Linked DNA regions of Macaca mulatta. The protein of the gene in region 1 purifies or fractionates together with the protein of each later gene. This does not show direct contact. Links are inferred from orthologs where the notes say so. Each region holds a gene or a part of one and is shown on either strand. Other genes may lie near its edges.

The links.
Region 2: the proteins of SUPT7L (region 1) and ATXN7L3 purify together in Homo sapiens (affinity purification with mass spectrometry; 6 studies listed by BioGRID and IntAct, counting the BioPlex papers as one, with this or other methods). This does not show direct contact. The link is inferred for Macaca mulatta from reciprocal best matches to the Homo sapiens genes SUPT7L and ATXN7L3.

Annotation. Positions count from the first base shown.
Region 1 is NC_133418.1:97,338,217-97,345,531, reverse strand, and holds the end of SUPT7L (STAGA complex 65 subunit gamma), read right to left. Parts: intron 5,855-7,315; coding exon 5,530-5,854; intron 3,483-5,529; coding exon 3,245-3,482; intron 1,631-3,244; coding exon 1,368-1,630; 3' UTR 376-1,367; downstream 1-375.
Region 2 is NC_133421.1:68,567,270-68,575,319, forward strand, and holds the start of ATXN7L3 (ataxin-7-like protein 3), read right to left. Parts: upstream 4,482-8,050; 5' UTR 4,167-4,481; coding exon of another isoform or gene 4,128-4,166; 5' UTR 3,973-4,127; coding exon 3,763-3,972; intron 3,495-3,762; coding exon 3,341-3,494; intron 3,141-3,340; coding exon 2,969-3,140; intron 2,793-2,968; coding exon 2,695-2,792; intron 2,014-2,694; coding exon 1,991-2,013; intron 1,706-1,990; coding exon 1,639-1,705; coding exon of another isoform or gene 1,601-1,638; intron 1,491-1,600; coding exon 1,405-1,490; intron 1,092-1,404; coding exon 1,023-1,091; intron 746-1,022; coding exon 702-745; intron 457-701; coding exon 385-456; intron 292-384; coding exon 134-291; intron 31-133; coding exon 1-30. UniProt on the Homo sapiens protein: Component of the transcription regulatory histone acetylation (HAT) complex SAGA, a multiprotein complex that activates transcription by remodeling chromatin and mediating histone acetylation and deubiquitination.

The DNA.
Region 1 (7,315 bases):
TAGAGCAAGACTCCATCTCAAAAATAAATAAATTTTTAAAAAAGACTGTGACAGAAAGGGTTTAGATAAATGTGCTAAAGAGTTACAACTGGCAAATGTATAAATTATATGTTAAACTATAACCTCATTTTAGTTCTATCATATTCATTCTCAATACCTGGGACATTTAAGGCATTCAATAATGAATTAAAGCTGTGCCTTATTTTGGTCTATATTAAAGGAGTGGTCTAAATTTTACAAGATGTATTCTGCATCAGAAAACCAAACTTCAGCAGTTTTACATGTTGGCATCCATTACCAAGGCATGAAGCAACACATTTGCTAATTATTCCTAATCACTACAGTGCTACAACATTTACTTAATAAATACTGATTCGGTACTTAAATGTACAGATAGTCTGATGGATGAGTAACCACAGTTACATTGTTCAGGACAATGATATAAAGTTGAAAGGTGCATATTACTATGCTTTAAAGGCTGCCTTTACAGTAGCAGAAGCAAAGTGTGCTTAATGGACTGCTGTCCTCTGATGACCAAGCAAATGCAACAAATGAAATATGCACAAGGTTGTCCTTGGACAGTACTTGTTTGCTTTGCTCACAAAGGAGAAAAGGAAAGAAACAACTGAAAATATGTATATGGTGAAAATATGTGAGTCTGAGCAGAAATAACAAAGGCCAAAAGGATGAGGATAGATGGAATAAATCTAGAGAAGAATATGTGGATGATAGGAGAGAGCTGTCTGAATAAGCAAAAGGCTGTCACTGTAGACCTCTGATCTTATAAATAAGACACTTCAAAAGCAGCAAAAACAGTTTTAAGAAGGTGACTAACAGATAAGGTATGTTGTGTTTCGCTATTTCCTGTTAGGTATTAGTAATGGATTCCCAACGACCTGAGCCAAAAATGAATCAAGTTAAATGAAAACTGACATCTGATATGAGCATATATTATGAGTCTATTCAAGCACAGTTTTGAAGTTAGCAAACACCTAAATCCTCACATCCCTGTAAGGTAGGTCAAAGAAGTATGATTCTCAGTTGTACAAGAGAAATGGCTGTAGAGAAGCTAAGTAACATGTCTAGTCATAGTTAAGACAACAGTCGAGGACGGTGCTTTGCTTTGATTGCCATGCCAGCATCATATTTCATCTGTGAAAGGTGGCTTGGTTGTGGAAAACTATAAAAACTGGATGCAAAAGTAAAATGCAACCTTGTTTGGTGATGTCCAGGTCCTCTGGAATAAGGAAAAACCACTTGTGTTTAAGAACAGGAGTCAAATCAATTTTTATGGAAACAGATTCTAATACAAAAACGTTTTCTGTTGGGTCTAGTAGGTCTGGACAAAAAATCTCCCTCTTTTCCTTTTATATTTTCCTCATCCTCTTCTTGCAGCGCTGGTTGAAAACAGGGGAGGACCCCATGAGGCTGTCAGTGGAGTGGGAACCATAGCTGCTATCTGAGTCATCAGGGCTCTGAGGAATCCCAGCTTCACTCATGCCTGACATGGGCTCCTCGAAGACATCGCTGCCCAGCACACCATGCCCAGAGACATTGCCTTCTTCACTCTCTTGAGGCTCCATTTTCACATGGGCCAGATTCCAAAGAGGAGAAGCATTTACCTCTGCACCTAGAAAGAGAGGAAAGGTGGACATACACCTTGTGGTAAGCCAAGTGTAGAACAAAGTAGAGTAAATATATCACTCAGGACCAACTAATATTCTTTGAGCTCAGTTTTCACTCTGATTCTGTACTTGTCAGGAGAATATGGTTGTTATTCTCTGCTTCAAAAAGTTAACCATCACAAAAAATTACCAGCTCTGATTATCTTCTTTTCCATTTCTTCTACCTTTCTTTCCTCTACCTCACCCACTCCCATTTTCCCTAAACCAGGGAAGTGAAGCTAGGCAGGTGGAAAGATCCCCCGTCTCACAGCCCAAAGACATGCACAACCACAGGCCTTGTTCAGCTCTTTAGTTTGCCTGTCCTTCCTTCTTTTATGGGGCCATCTTGTTTTCCTGCCTTTTGTTTGGGTCTCTGGTCATCTCTCACATTATGAAAAGGTAATGGTCACTACATAATGCTAACAACAGTTCTCTACCTGGTGTCCTTTGAAGAGACATGGTCCCGAAGTCCGTAACAATTTCTCTTTGGCTCTCCCATCTCTCTATGTGTTCTAGCAATGCTGCTCTCTTACGGTTATTCTTCCATAGTGAAAGGCTGTCTGCCCAACACTTTTAAAAGTACGACCTAATTCCATTTAGACCGCATTTGAGGATTTGCTATTTGAGTCATTTGTGCATTGATGAAATGACAATTTATATGTGTAAATAACTGAGTGCCCAGGCTAATTGGCAACCTAACTGACACATAACCAGTTAGTTGTCCTGGCTCCTAAGGTAATCACAGAGCCTGGAAAAAGAAGCCAGATACCTCTAACTGGGAAGCCTTTTTTTTTGTTTTGAGACAGAGTCTTGCTCTGTCGCCCAGGCTGGAGTGCAGTGGCACGATCTCGGCTCATTGCAAGCTCAGCCTCCGGGGTTCACGCCATTCTCCTGCCTCAGCCTCCCGAGTAGCTGGGACTACAGGTGCCCACCATCATGCCTGGCAAATTTTTTGTATTTTTAGTAGAGACGGGGTTTCACCATGTTAGCCAGGATGGTCTTGATCTCCTGACCTCATGATCCGCCTGCCTCGGCCTCCCAAAGTGCTGGGATTACAGGCATAAGCGACCACACCTGGCCGGACGCCCTATTTCAGTGTCTTTCATCTTCCATTTGTTAAGAGTACTTTAGCAGGGAAGCAAAACTCTGAGAACATCCTTGAGCAATTACCACTCTCCCATCTATCTGGCAGCTGTCTTATTCAATGAAGTACAAGCATCAGGAAGGACCAATACAGAATACTAAAAAAAAAATACTGAAGGAGGAAGGGGATAGCTTCCCAACCAGCTGGATCAGCTGAATCAGCCTTGGTAATCAACAGGACAACACATATTGCATCTACATCTTAACTAGGGATTATTTTAAAGAATGCCTGTAAAGCTGCTAATCCTCTCTTCACTAATTAGAAAGAGAAGAATGCTGAGATCTCTAGATAGGTGAAACTGTATTCATTTTAGGACTTTCCATTGTGTCCACTGCTGCTTTTGTTCTTCTACTTCTTGAGCTTGATTCCAAAAAGTGAAAAGTACTGAAACTGGCAGATCTCCCAGAATCAAAATGAGCAAGTTTATTTGTCTTACTTGAAGCCTGTGGTGAAGCTTCAACCTCCAGGTTAGATGGGAAGCGTTCACTCTGAGCCCCAAGCACTCCCATAGGCAGTGACTGGTCTCCAGAAGCAAGGTCAGCCTCCAGCTCCTCACTGACAGGAAAGGTGATGTCGCTCACAGGTTCCTCCTTGATCTTCACAGGTTTCATGTCCTCTGTGGCCTTCTCAGGATTGACAATCCTTTCATATTCTTCAGAGAGTTGCTTACTAATCTGTTGGCAAGCAAGAGTCAATTTTCCAAGGAAATGTTAAAAGCAAGTTGTATAGTCAGCTTGTGACATCCCATGGAGAAGCCAACAGAACACGAATAACAGAATTTTAAAACATTCACTGCCAATGGTAGGGATTTGTTTAAGGTGTTGAGTTTGCATTTATGAGTGATAGAGATATGTAAAGAAAATTGGTTTGGCAGAGAATGTGTATGTCATTAATTAAAAGTAACATAAAGGTAGCCGGGCGTGATGCTCACACCTGTAATCCCAGCACTTTGGGAGGATGAGGCGGGTGGATCACCTGAGGTCGGGATTTCAAGACCAGCCTGACCAATATGGAGAAACCCCATCTCTACTAAAAATACAAAACTAGCCGGGTATGGTGGCACATGCCTGTAATCCCAGCTACTTGAGAGGCTGAGGCAGGAGAATCGCTTGAACCCAGGAGGCGGAGGTTGCGGTGAGCCAAGATTGCGCCACTGCACTCCAGCCTGGGTGACAAGAGCGAAACTCCGTCTCAAAAAAAAAAAAAAGTAACATAAAGGTAAAAAGTGTTAAAACAGAACTGGGACAAAAGATTACATTTTTTTTTGGCTATAAAAATTAACAGGAGGCTGGGCACAGTCATTCACACCTGTCATCCCGGTACTTTGGGAGGCCAAGGCGGGAGGACCACTTGAGCCTAGGAGTCTGAGACCAGCTTGGGCAACATCTAGTGAGATCCTATCTCTACAAAAAAAAAAAAAAGAGCTGGGCATGGTGGTTCACATCTGTGGTCTTAGCTACTTGGGAGGCTGAGGTGGAACGATCACTTGAGCCTAGCAGGTTAAGGCTGTAGTGAGCTGTGATTGTGCCACTGCACTCCAGCCCAGGCAACCCTGTCTAAAAAGAGGAAAAACAAATTGACATATGTATCCTAGGTGAATAATCAATGGTGTGGGAAATCTGGATCACTTAGCAAAGACTTTTCTTGGGTGTTAAATATTTTAGACCTGCAGAGACTGAAATAGTGAACAAATGACTTAAGAGCACAAGGGCTGAAGAGGTTAGCTGGTTCCAACCAAAATCACCCCTCACCAACCCATCCTCCAGGCAATATCATTTTACTTTTTTTCATGGCACTTAACATTATACAAAATTGTATTTTTGTAAGTATGTGCTTAGAGACAGCTAAGTCTTGCTATATTGCCCAGGCTGGCCTTAAACTTCTGGCCTCAAACAATCCTCCCACCTCAGCCTCCCAAGCAGCTATATTAGAGATATATATTACAATTCTAGTCAAACCATTATATTAGCTGCTTGGGAGGCTGAGGCGGGAGGATTGCCAGTAGGAGATCTATGTTTTCTTTTTTTTTTTTTTCAGACAGGGTCTTGCTCTGTCACCCAGGTTGGAGTGCAATGGCACAATCATGGCTCGCAGCAGCCTTAACTTCCTGGTCTCAAGTGATCTCACCTCACACTCCCGCGTAGCTGAGACCACAGGCATGAGCCACCATGTCCAGCTAATTTTTATTTTTAAATTTTCTATAGAGATGGGGGTCTCACTATATTGTCCAGGCTGGTCTTGAACTCCTGGCCTCAAGCAATCCTCCCACCTCAGCTTCCCAAGTAGCTGGGATTACAGGTATGTGCCATCATGCCCAGCTCCTGAAATTGTTTTGATCATTTTTTGTTGACTTGTGTTTGTTTCCCTTCAAAAACAATGTACGCTCAGGTAACTTAGTAACTGCTGAATCCCACAATGCTTGACTCTCAACAGGCACTCAATAAATACTTGATGAATAAAGTCAGACTACCTGCATTCTCTCAGATTCCATATACTTGTGGATAGTTTCTTCCAGAGGAAGTATCTGTGAATGTGGCCATTCATTGACTAAAGGAGACCCATTTGGCCAGGAACATCGCTAGGGCCATCATAAAAGTATGTTAAGTTCACTCGGTTCCAAGACTCTGTGCTCTGCACTCTAGACCAAGTGCTGTGGGATCCTGCTGAACACTCCTAGATTGCACAGACATCTGTGCCCACTTTTCAACAGGGTCGCCTCACCTGTAGCATGTAACTGTGATAGTCCTTGATGCGGTGCTGCCAGAACTTCTGGAGGGAGAGCACACTGCCGATACCCACTTCATGGAATACCTGCTCCATCACATCTGGAAAAGGAGTCTGTCCCAGCCGGGCCTCCCGGTCCACAGCAAAACGCAACAACTTGGTAAACTTAAGGCAATACTCATGTGCCACATCAGTTAGGGTCTCCAGGACACTTTCATTAGCACAGTCAAAGCCTGCGTGGGCCAGGATTGTGGCCACTGCCTGGTAAAGGAGCTGCCGACAGGAGTGCCAGCTGAGTTCAGTCACAGGTTCCCCTTTCCCACTGAAAGTGGAGATATGATGGTGTTATTAATGTTCTTGCAAAGGGGTGACCTCACCTGTCTCCCCAGAAGTTTTACAATTCCAGTCAAGCCACTAGCCTAGCTTTCCAGGGAAATTCTATCCAAGTTACATAGCTCAGTTTCATCCTGCTGCTATCAGGACATGTCTTAGCAACCCATGGTTATATCTTTGAGCTCCTCCAAAGACATAGTTTGAATAGGCAATACATGTCTATAATACACAGTCCAAAAGGATATCTAGTGAAAAGAAAGTTTCCTTCTAGCAACTGTTAAATTTTGATCACTTTTAGGATTAAGTTTAACAGTATAGCCCAGACACTGCTCAGTGATGCTCTAATTATTTTACCACAACCTCGTTTTCATACATGCTGGGCAATATATTAATACAAACTTTTAGAAATTCGTAGTTCCAATAAAGAGATTCTTCACAGCTTGCCAGGAGTTTAAGATTCTTAGATTCTTATAAAATTACAAGGGACCATTTCAAAACAGGTAAGGCAACTCAATTTTATAAAAGCAATTTAAAACGTATATAGCTTATAAAGCATTTTCATCCTATCCTGTGTTGTGCAATGGGTAGGGTCTGCATTATTATTATTTCTATTTGCCAGGAGAGGAAACAGGTTCGGAAGGGCTGACTTGCCAAAATTTGTTTACATGTTATTAATAAGTGGTAAAGCTTCTGACTCCAGAAACCGTATCCTTCATAATACACCATTTTGCCCCAATCACCACTACAGAAATCTTAATATTTCTAAGAAAAAATTTAAGAAAGCTATTTGATCTAAAAATAACTTAAGAAGCTTTTAATAATTTACCCATCTCTTGAAATTTCCTATTGGCTTCTGCCTATCCCTGACAAAGGAATTTATTTTACCAATAAAAATAAAATAGAGCACAGAAAATCATATTTCCCTGGTTCATACTTGGCATGTGTCATCACGCACTGTACAAAAGTACCCGAGGGGTTATCCACCCACTAAACCCTGACCTGTTCAATAGCAACTATTGCAGTTTACATAATAGTTTTGAGAATAAGACAATTAATTGCCAAGTAACTTCATTTACTATCGTCATCATTTCTATGGCCAGTGTCTCTGGGCCAAAAGCTAAAGGCCTCAGAGGTACCTAATAAACAGAGACAACTAAACCAATATCACTTTCCTAGAATAATATGTGGACCTCTTTCAAAGGAAAATAATTTTTTGGTGCCCTCATAGCTGATGTGAATTATTTTTGTTATACAGTTTCTTAAATATGTATAAAATAAAACCATGTAAAAACGTTTGATGGTTATGGCTCTTACTAACACTATAAATTTGATACAAAACTAAAAATGAATAAATAACAGTATCAATTTAATATGATAGATAACATTATGTTGTTGAAATTAAATTGCCCTCAGTATGTGAATACAGTATTGATCACCACAGAGCAAGTTT
Region 2 (8,050 bases), on another chromosome or scaffold:
TGGTTTTCCGTGACTCAGAGCTGTTGGTACCTGTAGAGAAAGAGACACAAAGGATGAGAGTAGGGTTGTGGCAGGAGAGGTGGCACTCCCATGGCTTCGGGCACAGCCCCTGGGGCCCAACTGTATCACGTACCTAGACCCCATCCCTGATTTTCACTCGTCTTGGAGGAGCCTGAATCAGAGGGTGAGAGGTCAGAGGAGCCATCCCACTGAAGCCGGCTGATCAGGGCCTGGCTGTCAGTCATGTCAAAGCTGTCATTATCCAGGGAGCTCTCGACCTCTGGAAGGACGCTAGAAAGGGGATGAGCCAAAGAAGGGCTTTACAGATAGCGATCATCGCCCTAACTGGTCATAACCCCCCATCCCTCCTGTAGGGCCACTTACGCCGAGGGCCCGAGAAAATAAATCCGCACGGTTCGCCTCTGCTCATCTGTGTGCTGTGGGCAGCGTAGGGACCTGGTGGTGAGGCAAGGCAGGGAGGGGTCTGAGGAACTCAGGTAAAGCCCCTCCTCTCGGCAAGGCAGGAGCCACAGGCACAGACAGGGAAGGGAAGAGTGCAGATTCGTCCCCAGACTGTGGCCGAAGGCCTGATCATTAGAGGAGGGAAGGGGAAGGGCAGAAGCCCCATTGCTCAAGTCCGACCCATGCCCATGGTGAGTGTGCAGGAGGCCCCTGGCCCCCTTTCTAGGTTCTGTGCTCACCTTGTGCACATCTTCTTGGTGTGTTCAGAAATCACCCCACATTGCTGGAAGAGGAATATAAGCTGAAAGGAGGGATGGAGGGAACCTACTCTAGATGCTAGATGTTCCCTTCTGCATAAATGCTAGAAAGCACAAGCAGAGATGGCCCCAAGGTGTCCAGAGCAGACAGTCCCAGGACACTATGGGCCAGGAAACCTAATTCCAGAAAGAGAGAACAATATGGCCCTGACTGCTATGTCACCAGCTTCCTCCCCGGCCTTGACCACTGCCTATGGCTCCAGCCCACTCCCAAGGGCCTTCTCCCTTGCCGGTCCCCCTCACCGTGGTGAGCAGGCTGCGAAGCTCCTCTGGCCCCAGGGTCTCATAGCTGATCCCAGTTGAATTGTTATACTGCAGGAGAACCAGAGGTACAGGTTAGAGATGGGGCAGAGAAGAGACAGGGGCCGGGGGGAAGCGAGAATCAGTCCCTCTGGTGCCTTTCTAAGCGAGAGGCTTTAGGACAACCCTGCCGTTTTCCAAGTGATTTCTCTCATCCCACCTGCCTATGGATAAGGGGCGGGACTCAGAAAGAACATAAATATATAAGATCCAAATAGCTCATCAGTGCCTCTGGCTGTCAGCATTCTGATCCCTACTTGTCCAAATCCCTACCACCTCACAACCAGGACAATGAGAGCAAGTGCGAGGGACGGCCCATACTCACCTTAAAAGGATCCGAATTGCTAAGTTCCCCTGAAGAAGAAAAAAGAAGGGGAAGGGTGTTTGATGCAGAGGTACAGACAGAGAACCCTGAAAATAACCAGAGAGGAAGTGGGGGTGACAGAAGGATCACAGGCCCTCCCTCAATTCCCCTATCCCCGGGCCCCACCTCCACCCCCCGGCAATGAGTCCCAGAAGACGTAGCTAGAAGCAATCCCATTGCTCCGGCCCCACTTACCATTTTTGTGTTTTAAAGACTTGGATCTTCGAGGGGAATTGGGGTTCTGGAATGGGAGATACCATAGCTTTGGGGAAAGGGTAACGATAAGGGGGAGCCGAGAACCCAGGGAAGGAAAAAAGATTTGACAAAGCAGCATCCTCAAATTCCTACTCTTCCTCCCCAGTAGGAGGCCTGTCTACCCATGTGCCCTCCCCTGCCCTCCATTCCCACACCCCACCCGCCCACCACAGACACCCTCAAGCCCCCAGTGACCTCAGCCTTGAGTCAAGACACTTGAGGACTCCCTGCCCAAAGGGGAGGGTATCTGTCCTTTGCCCATTAATTCCCCAATGCTTGCCCCGGCTCTCACCTTGTCTGATTTCCTCTTCTTGGCTAAGGGGGAACAAAAGCATAAAGAGCAGGGTTTCCGTTAAGTTCTCAATCTAAAAGCATCTCAAGAAAACTGTACAATAGGCTGGGCGCAGTGGCTCACGCCTATAATCCCAGCACTTTGGGAGGCCCGGGCGGGCGGATCATGAAGTCAGGAGATTAAGACCATCCTGGCCAATATGGTGTAACCCCATCTCTACTAAAAACAAAAAAATTAGCTCGCCGTGGTAGCGCACACCTGTAATCCTGGCTACTCAGGAGGCTGAGACAGGGGAATCACTTGAACCCAGGAGACGGAGGTTGCAGTGAGCCAAGATTGCGCCAATGCACCCCATCCTGGGCAACAGAGCAAGATTCCGTCTCAAAAAAAAAAAAGAAAAAGGAAACCGCACAACTATACTCTCTCTTCATCATTCAAGACAACAACCTTAGCCAGGCGCAGTGGCGGGCGCCTGTAGTCCCAGCTACTCGGGAGGCTGAGGCAGGAGAATGGCGTGAACCCGGGAGGCGGAGCCTGCAGTGAGCCGAGATTGCGCCACTGCACTCCAGCCTGGGCGACAGAGCAAGACTCCGTCTCAAAAAAAAAAAAAAAAAAAAAGACAACAACCTGTGACCACTTTATACCCAATTTCTGCTTCCCACCTCATCCCAATGCTCCCCAAGTTTCCCCAGATCCCCAAGCACCTTTCTTTTCCGAGCCATAAGACCAATCGTTGTCATTGATGTCATCATTATCCTCTTGGTCACTCTCAGACTTATTCATATTGTTGCTATTGGCAATCCTGCCAAAGGGAGGGAAGAGAAAGGGTCAAGGGGGTCACCCCACTCTGCCCCCAACTTCAGAGGCACGTGGGGTATCTGGGGCCAAGTAAAACCCACTCTCGGTACCCTCCTAATGCCCCCGGGGTACTACACCATGGCACAGGCTGCAGAGAATGGGCATCTCTGGTTCTCTCACCGGCGGTTGGCGATTCGGCTGCTGTTCCGACCCATTCCCAGGCACTTCTCCAGATGGGGAGCAAAGCGGGAGGCGGCAATGCTGCGACTGCAATTGGGGCAAACACACTCCTTGCTCTTCCACTGGTTGAAAACCTGTCCAAAGATGTCCAACCCCGGCTGGTCCACGATCTCTGGGGACAGGAGAGGCTGGCGATCAGGGTGGGCAGGGGACCCTCTCCTCTTGTTCCCACCTGGGGTCCCACGGCCTCTTCAATCCCTCCCCCGGCTCACAGGAGCTCCAGATGCTACATCTAGCACAGTTTCCAGAGAAGGAAACTCCAAACAGTCCCAGGAAAGGGCTGGACTGCTGCTCCTTCACCCTGAAGCTCACCAAAATCCTTCATGCTATCAGGGTCCGTGTCGTCCAGGAAGAAGTAGCCACACTTGACAGCCCGGTGTACCTCAAAGCAGAATCCCAAACAAGAATCCTCGACCAGGTCCGCATATATCTCCTGAGCGATGGCCTGGGCCCCAGGGGAGAACATCTACGGTCACAAGAGTCACAGCCCCCTGGACTCTCACCAACCAAATCTGCTGCCATCTGGCCCCAGCCAAAAATCACGCTTTCTTTGCCATTTTCCCCATCTTGACTTCGTGTTCTTTCTTCTTCCTGGATCCTTGGCCTTTTCAGCTGGCTATTCCCTTTAAGGAACAAGGCTGACTACCCAAATTCCTCTTTGGTGTGGATGCCAGATATAGCGACGTAGAGACATCAAGAGAAAGAACTGGAGGCACACGTGGGGGAGCCCTCACCTCTAGTTTGCTGTTATCCAGGCCAGACAAAGACATTTCCTCCATTTTCATTTGTAAACTCTTGTGGAGACGGCGCTCTGACTGCTCATAGCACAGCGGGCGGCAACACGGCTGCACACACGGGGGTGGGGGTGTTGTTGTGAGTCCAAGGCACCTCTGAAGGCGGCCACCTTCCCTCCCACCTCGCTGCCCAGAGCTCAGTCCTGGCATCAGGGTCTCTCCCTCCCCAAGGCCCAGGCTCACTAAGTCTGGATGGTCCTTCAGGGCCTGAAACCTAAAGGGGGCCTAGTCTTTCCCAGGCCTGAGCTCAGGCCCTGGACTCCACTGCCAATCAGAGTCTGGGTCTATAGGAGGCAGCAGCTCACCCTAGGTCCCCAAAACTCAAACCCCTCTTTGATACCCATGGTGCAATGCAGCAGGGGGAGGAGAAGGAACTCCAAGGCCTCAAAGCAAACCCACAGGGTGTGGCAAAGAACTGCACAGACTCCTAAATACACCCCCCCGCCTTCCCTAAAGACTCTCCTCAGAGTCACCTCTGCTTTCAGCCAGGATGTCCACTTGGGGGGGTACTGCTACCAGAAGTAGAAATGGCCCTAGGACCCTACAACCTTCACCCCACTCTGCCTTCCCTTGAAATCAGCCTGCCACTCCACGAGGGAAGCAGAGCTCACAGGAGCCTAGAGCTAAGGGACATTTCCAGCCACCATGAGCAGGAGCGGCGGGGCGGGGGGGGGGTGCCCGGTGGGGTGGCACGCCAGGAGCGGGCACTCCCCTTACCTGTTCTTCCTTTAAATAACCACCCACCCTCCCTCAGGACCAGCCCGGAAGTCTCTCCAAGAGCCCCAAAGTCCAGGAACCCCCACCCAAGGATTCAGACACAGCACCCACAGCCCAGGGCCCCTCGGAACGGTGGGTACGAGTTTCAGGAGCCGCCGGCCTAGAGTGGGGTGGGGACTGACGAATGAGCCGGGGGCACTGGGAAGGGTAGGAGGCCGGGCCTCGGCTCTTCCCCCGTCCCTGCGGCACTGCTGCTGCATCATACCGACTGGGGGGAGGAGAGCCGAGCCGCCGGGGCCGGCACCGGGCCGGGACAGACCGACCCCCAGAGAGTGGACAGAGTGGGACGCGTCCCGGCCCCTCTCCTTCCCCGCCCGCCAGCAGCCCCGGCCGGCCGGGGAGAGGAGTCCGGGAGGGTGTCTCTATTGTCCCGGGGGCTGGGGCCTGGCTCCCTAACAAAGGCCCCGCGCCCCCTCCCCGGCCGGCCCTGCCCCGCCCAAGGGGGACCCAGACGGGGGAGAGCTGGGGGCCCCGGCCCGGCCGGGAAGCTGGGGGAAGCCGGGCGTTTCCGCGTCGGCCCGGGGGGAGGGGAAGGGGCGCTGACCCAGACCTGGGGGGAGGGGGCCCAAGCCCCGCCTCGGGCCCCGCCCCCCGCCCCCCGCAGGCCCCTCCCCCGTCCCCGTCTCCGTCCCGTACTCACCCCGCCCGGGGGGCCGCGCCGGGGCCCGGCGGCCTCTCAGGGCCGCGTCCTCCGGCGGCGGCGGCGGCGGCGGCTGCTCCGGAGCCCCATGTCCGTCGGTCCGTCCTCGCCTCTCCCCGGGGCCCAGGGCCCGGGGCCGGGGGGTCGGGCCGCCCCCCCGCCTCGCCGCCTCACCGGGCGGCCATGGCCCCTTCCCCTCCCTTCTTGTCCCGTCGCCGCCTCCTCCTCCTCACCTCACCCCGCCCGCGCGCAGTCCGCGCGCCGTCCGCGCGCCCCTCCCCCCGCCCCCCACTCCAGCCCGCCTCTCCCGGGCGGGGGGTGCGGCGCGAGCCCGGAGCGCGCGCGCGTGTGCCGCGACCGGAGGATGGATGGATGGAGCGAGCGAGAACGCGAACGTGCGCGCGCGCGCCCCTCTCCCCCTCCCTCCGCGCGGGCGCGAGGCCAAGCGCGAGCGCGCTCCAACCTCCTCCTCTTCCTCCTCCCGCCCCTCCCCAACACCCCGCCCTCCCCCTCCCTTCCTCTTCCTTCTTTCGCTTTCGCGCGCCCAGCGACTGCTCGCGCCTGCTAGAAGGGCCCGAGCGCGTGCATCTGCCCCGCGGCCGCAGCTCGGCAGCATTTGCTCCAGGGGGCGGGGACCGGGAGGGGAGGAGGGGCGCCACGCCGCCGTCCAAAGTACCGGCGGACGGGGACGGGGGCGGGGAGATGGGCGGGGCCTTCGCGGACCTCCCCGACCAATCGCCGAGAGGCCTCGGCCCGGGAGGCCCAATAAGATGGGGGTGGGTGGGGCGGCGTTCAAGGTGAGGTGCGCGGTGCGCTGGGGGCGGAGACATTGTGCCGTCCCGGCCGGCTCGGGGGCGGGGGCAGCGGGTGGCGTCGAAAGAGAGCGCCGGCTCCTAGCCGATCCTGGGACGCCTTCCGGCCCAGGCTTCCCCGCCCTTCCCTCGGGGCTCCCCGCTCTCTCCCCCCCCTCCGCTCCCCCCTTTACCCCGAGGCGTGCAGCCACTTCTGTGAAGAGGCCAGACTTGAAGTGGGGCGCAGTTAGGACCTCGGAGCGGAAAGCCCGTAGAATCGAAGGGGCTCGCCCGCGCCTCAGTTCTCCTGGTTTCTGGGCGGGTCTCAGCCCACGCCAGGCCTGCGGACCAACAAGCGGCCGAGATGAGGGTCCGCTGCTGAGGTCGGAGGCCAAGCTGCGCCCTTCTGCGCGGAGCGCCCTCCCCACCCCTCATCCTAATTTAGATCCCACACCTGCTTGCCTTTCCTGCTTCCGGAACCCACGCTGGACCCCCCACCCCTCAAGACAGCCTGCCTGGCACTGGCCAGATCCTTCCCCCGACCCAGTGCTTTTCTCCTGGGTGCAGAGTGTCCCTATGCTCACGCTCTCAGTCCCTCTTTAGGAAGGAGCGGGCCTTTTCCCAGCCGCGGTGGATGGCTGGATTGGCGCTTTCATCTCGGTTACTCTGTGTCTGGTGTCCTGGAACGGTTGTGTGACAGCCCTCTCCCCTCAAGAGATAAGATTAAAAAGGAGGATAGTCTGAAATCACATACTTGGAGCCATCTTTGGTTTTTAGTTTTCCGCAAATATTTTATTCTCACCGATTTCTCCTGAGAAACAGCAAACATTTATTGAGGCGATATTCCAGAGTAGTTAAGATCAGGCGTCTGATTTGAATTTAAATCGTTGGATCTAGCAAATGAGTTTCCTCTGCCTCAGTTTCCTCTGTTGTCAGTGGGCATAATGATAGTCCTATCTCATTGCGTTGCTGTAGTGATTAACAAGTCAGTGCATGTGAAACTCTTAGCTCTGTGTAAGTGCTTGGTAAATCTTAGCTGTTATTCTTACGGTGCTCCAGGTGCTGGGACAAAAGATGATATAAGACAGTTGTGCTTCTTCAAGAAGTTCACTGTCTTGTGGGATAGACAGGTAGGATAATAATTGCAAAAGAGTGTGACGAAAACAGCAGAGAGAGAACAGAGGTAGCCAGAAGGAGACATCAAATAATGTAAGAGAGTTGGTCAAGAAAGGCTTCTTGGGTTGGGCGGGGTGGCCCAGGCCTGTAATTCCAGCACTTTGGGAGGCCAGGAGCTCAAGACCAGCCTGCAAAAATGCAAAAATTAGCTGAGTGTGGTGGCATGCTCCTGTAATCCCAGCTACTCAGGAGGCTGAGGCAGGAGAATCGCTTGAACCTGGGAGGCGGAGGTTGCAGTGAGCTGAGATTGCACCACTGCACTCCAGCCTGGGCGACAGAGCGAGATGCTGTCTCAAAACAAAACAAAAAAGAAGAAAAAGAAAAACTTCTTGTAGTGGGAGATGAACCAGGTAAAGGTAGGCCAAGAAAGCATTGGATATCCCCAACCGGAAGCTTCAGAAGCCTGGATCAAGCTGAAACAGAGGATTGGGTGGCAGAATAGCTGGAGGTGAGCAGGCTGGATCATACAGGACAAAGCAAGTAGGTGTTGAAAGTTTCGCCTGTAAGCCATGAGGAATCCTCAAGGGGAATCATTCACCAGACTTATATATTTAGTAGATCATGCTGGAGTGTGGTCTGGAGAATAACTTAGAAGCAGTAGGTTTTTTTGTTTTGTTTTGTTTTTTAGCGTTTTGCTCTGTCACTCAGGCTGGAGTGCAGTGGTGTGATCTCAGCACACTGCAACTTCTGCCTCCCGGGTTCAAGCGATTCTCATGCCTCAGCCTCCCTAATAGCTGGGATTACGGGCACATGCCACCTTGCTCAGCTAATTTTTGTTTTATATTTTTAGTAGAGACAGGGTTTCACCATGTTGGCCAGGCTGGTCTCGAACTTCTGACCTTAG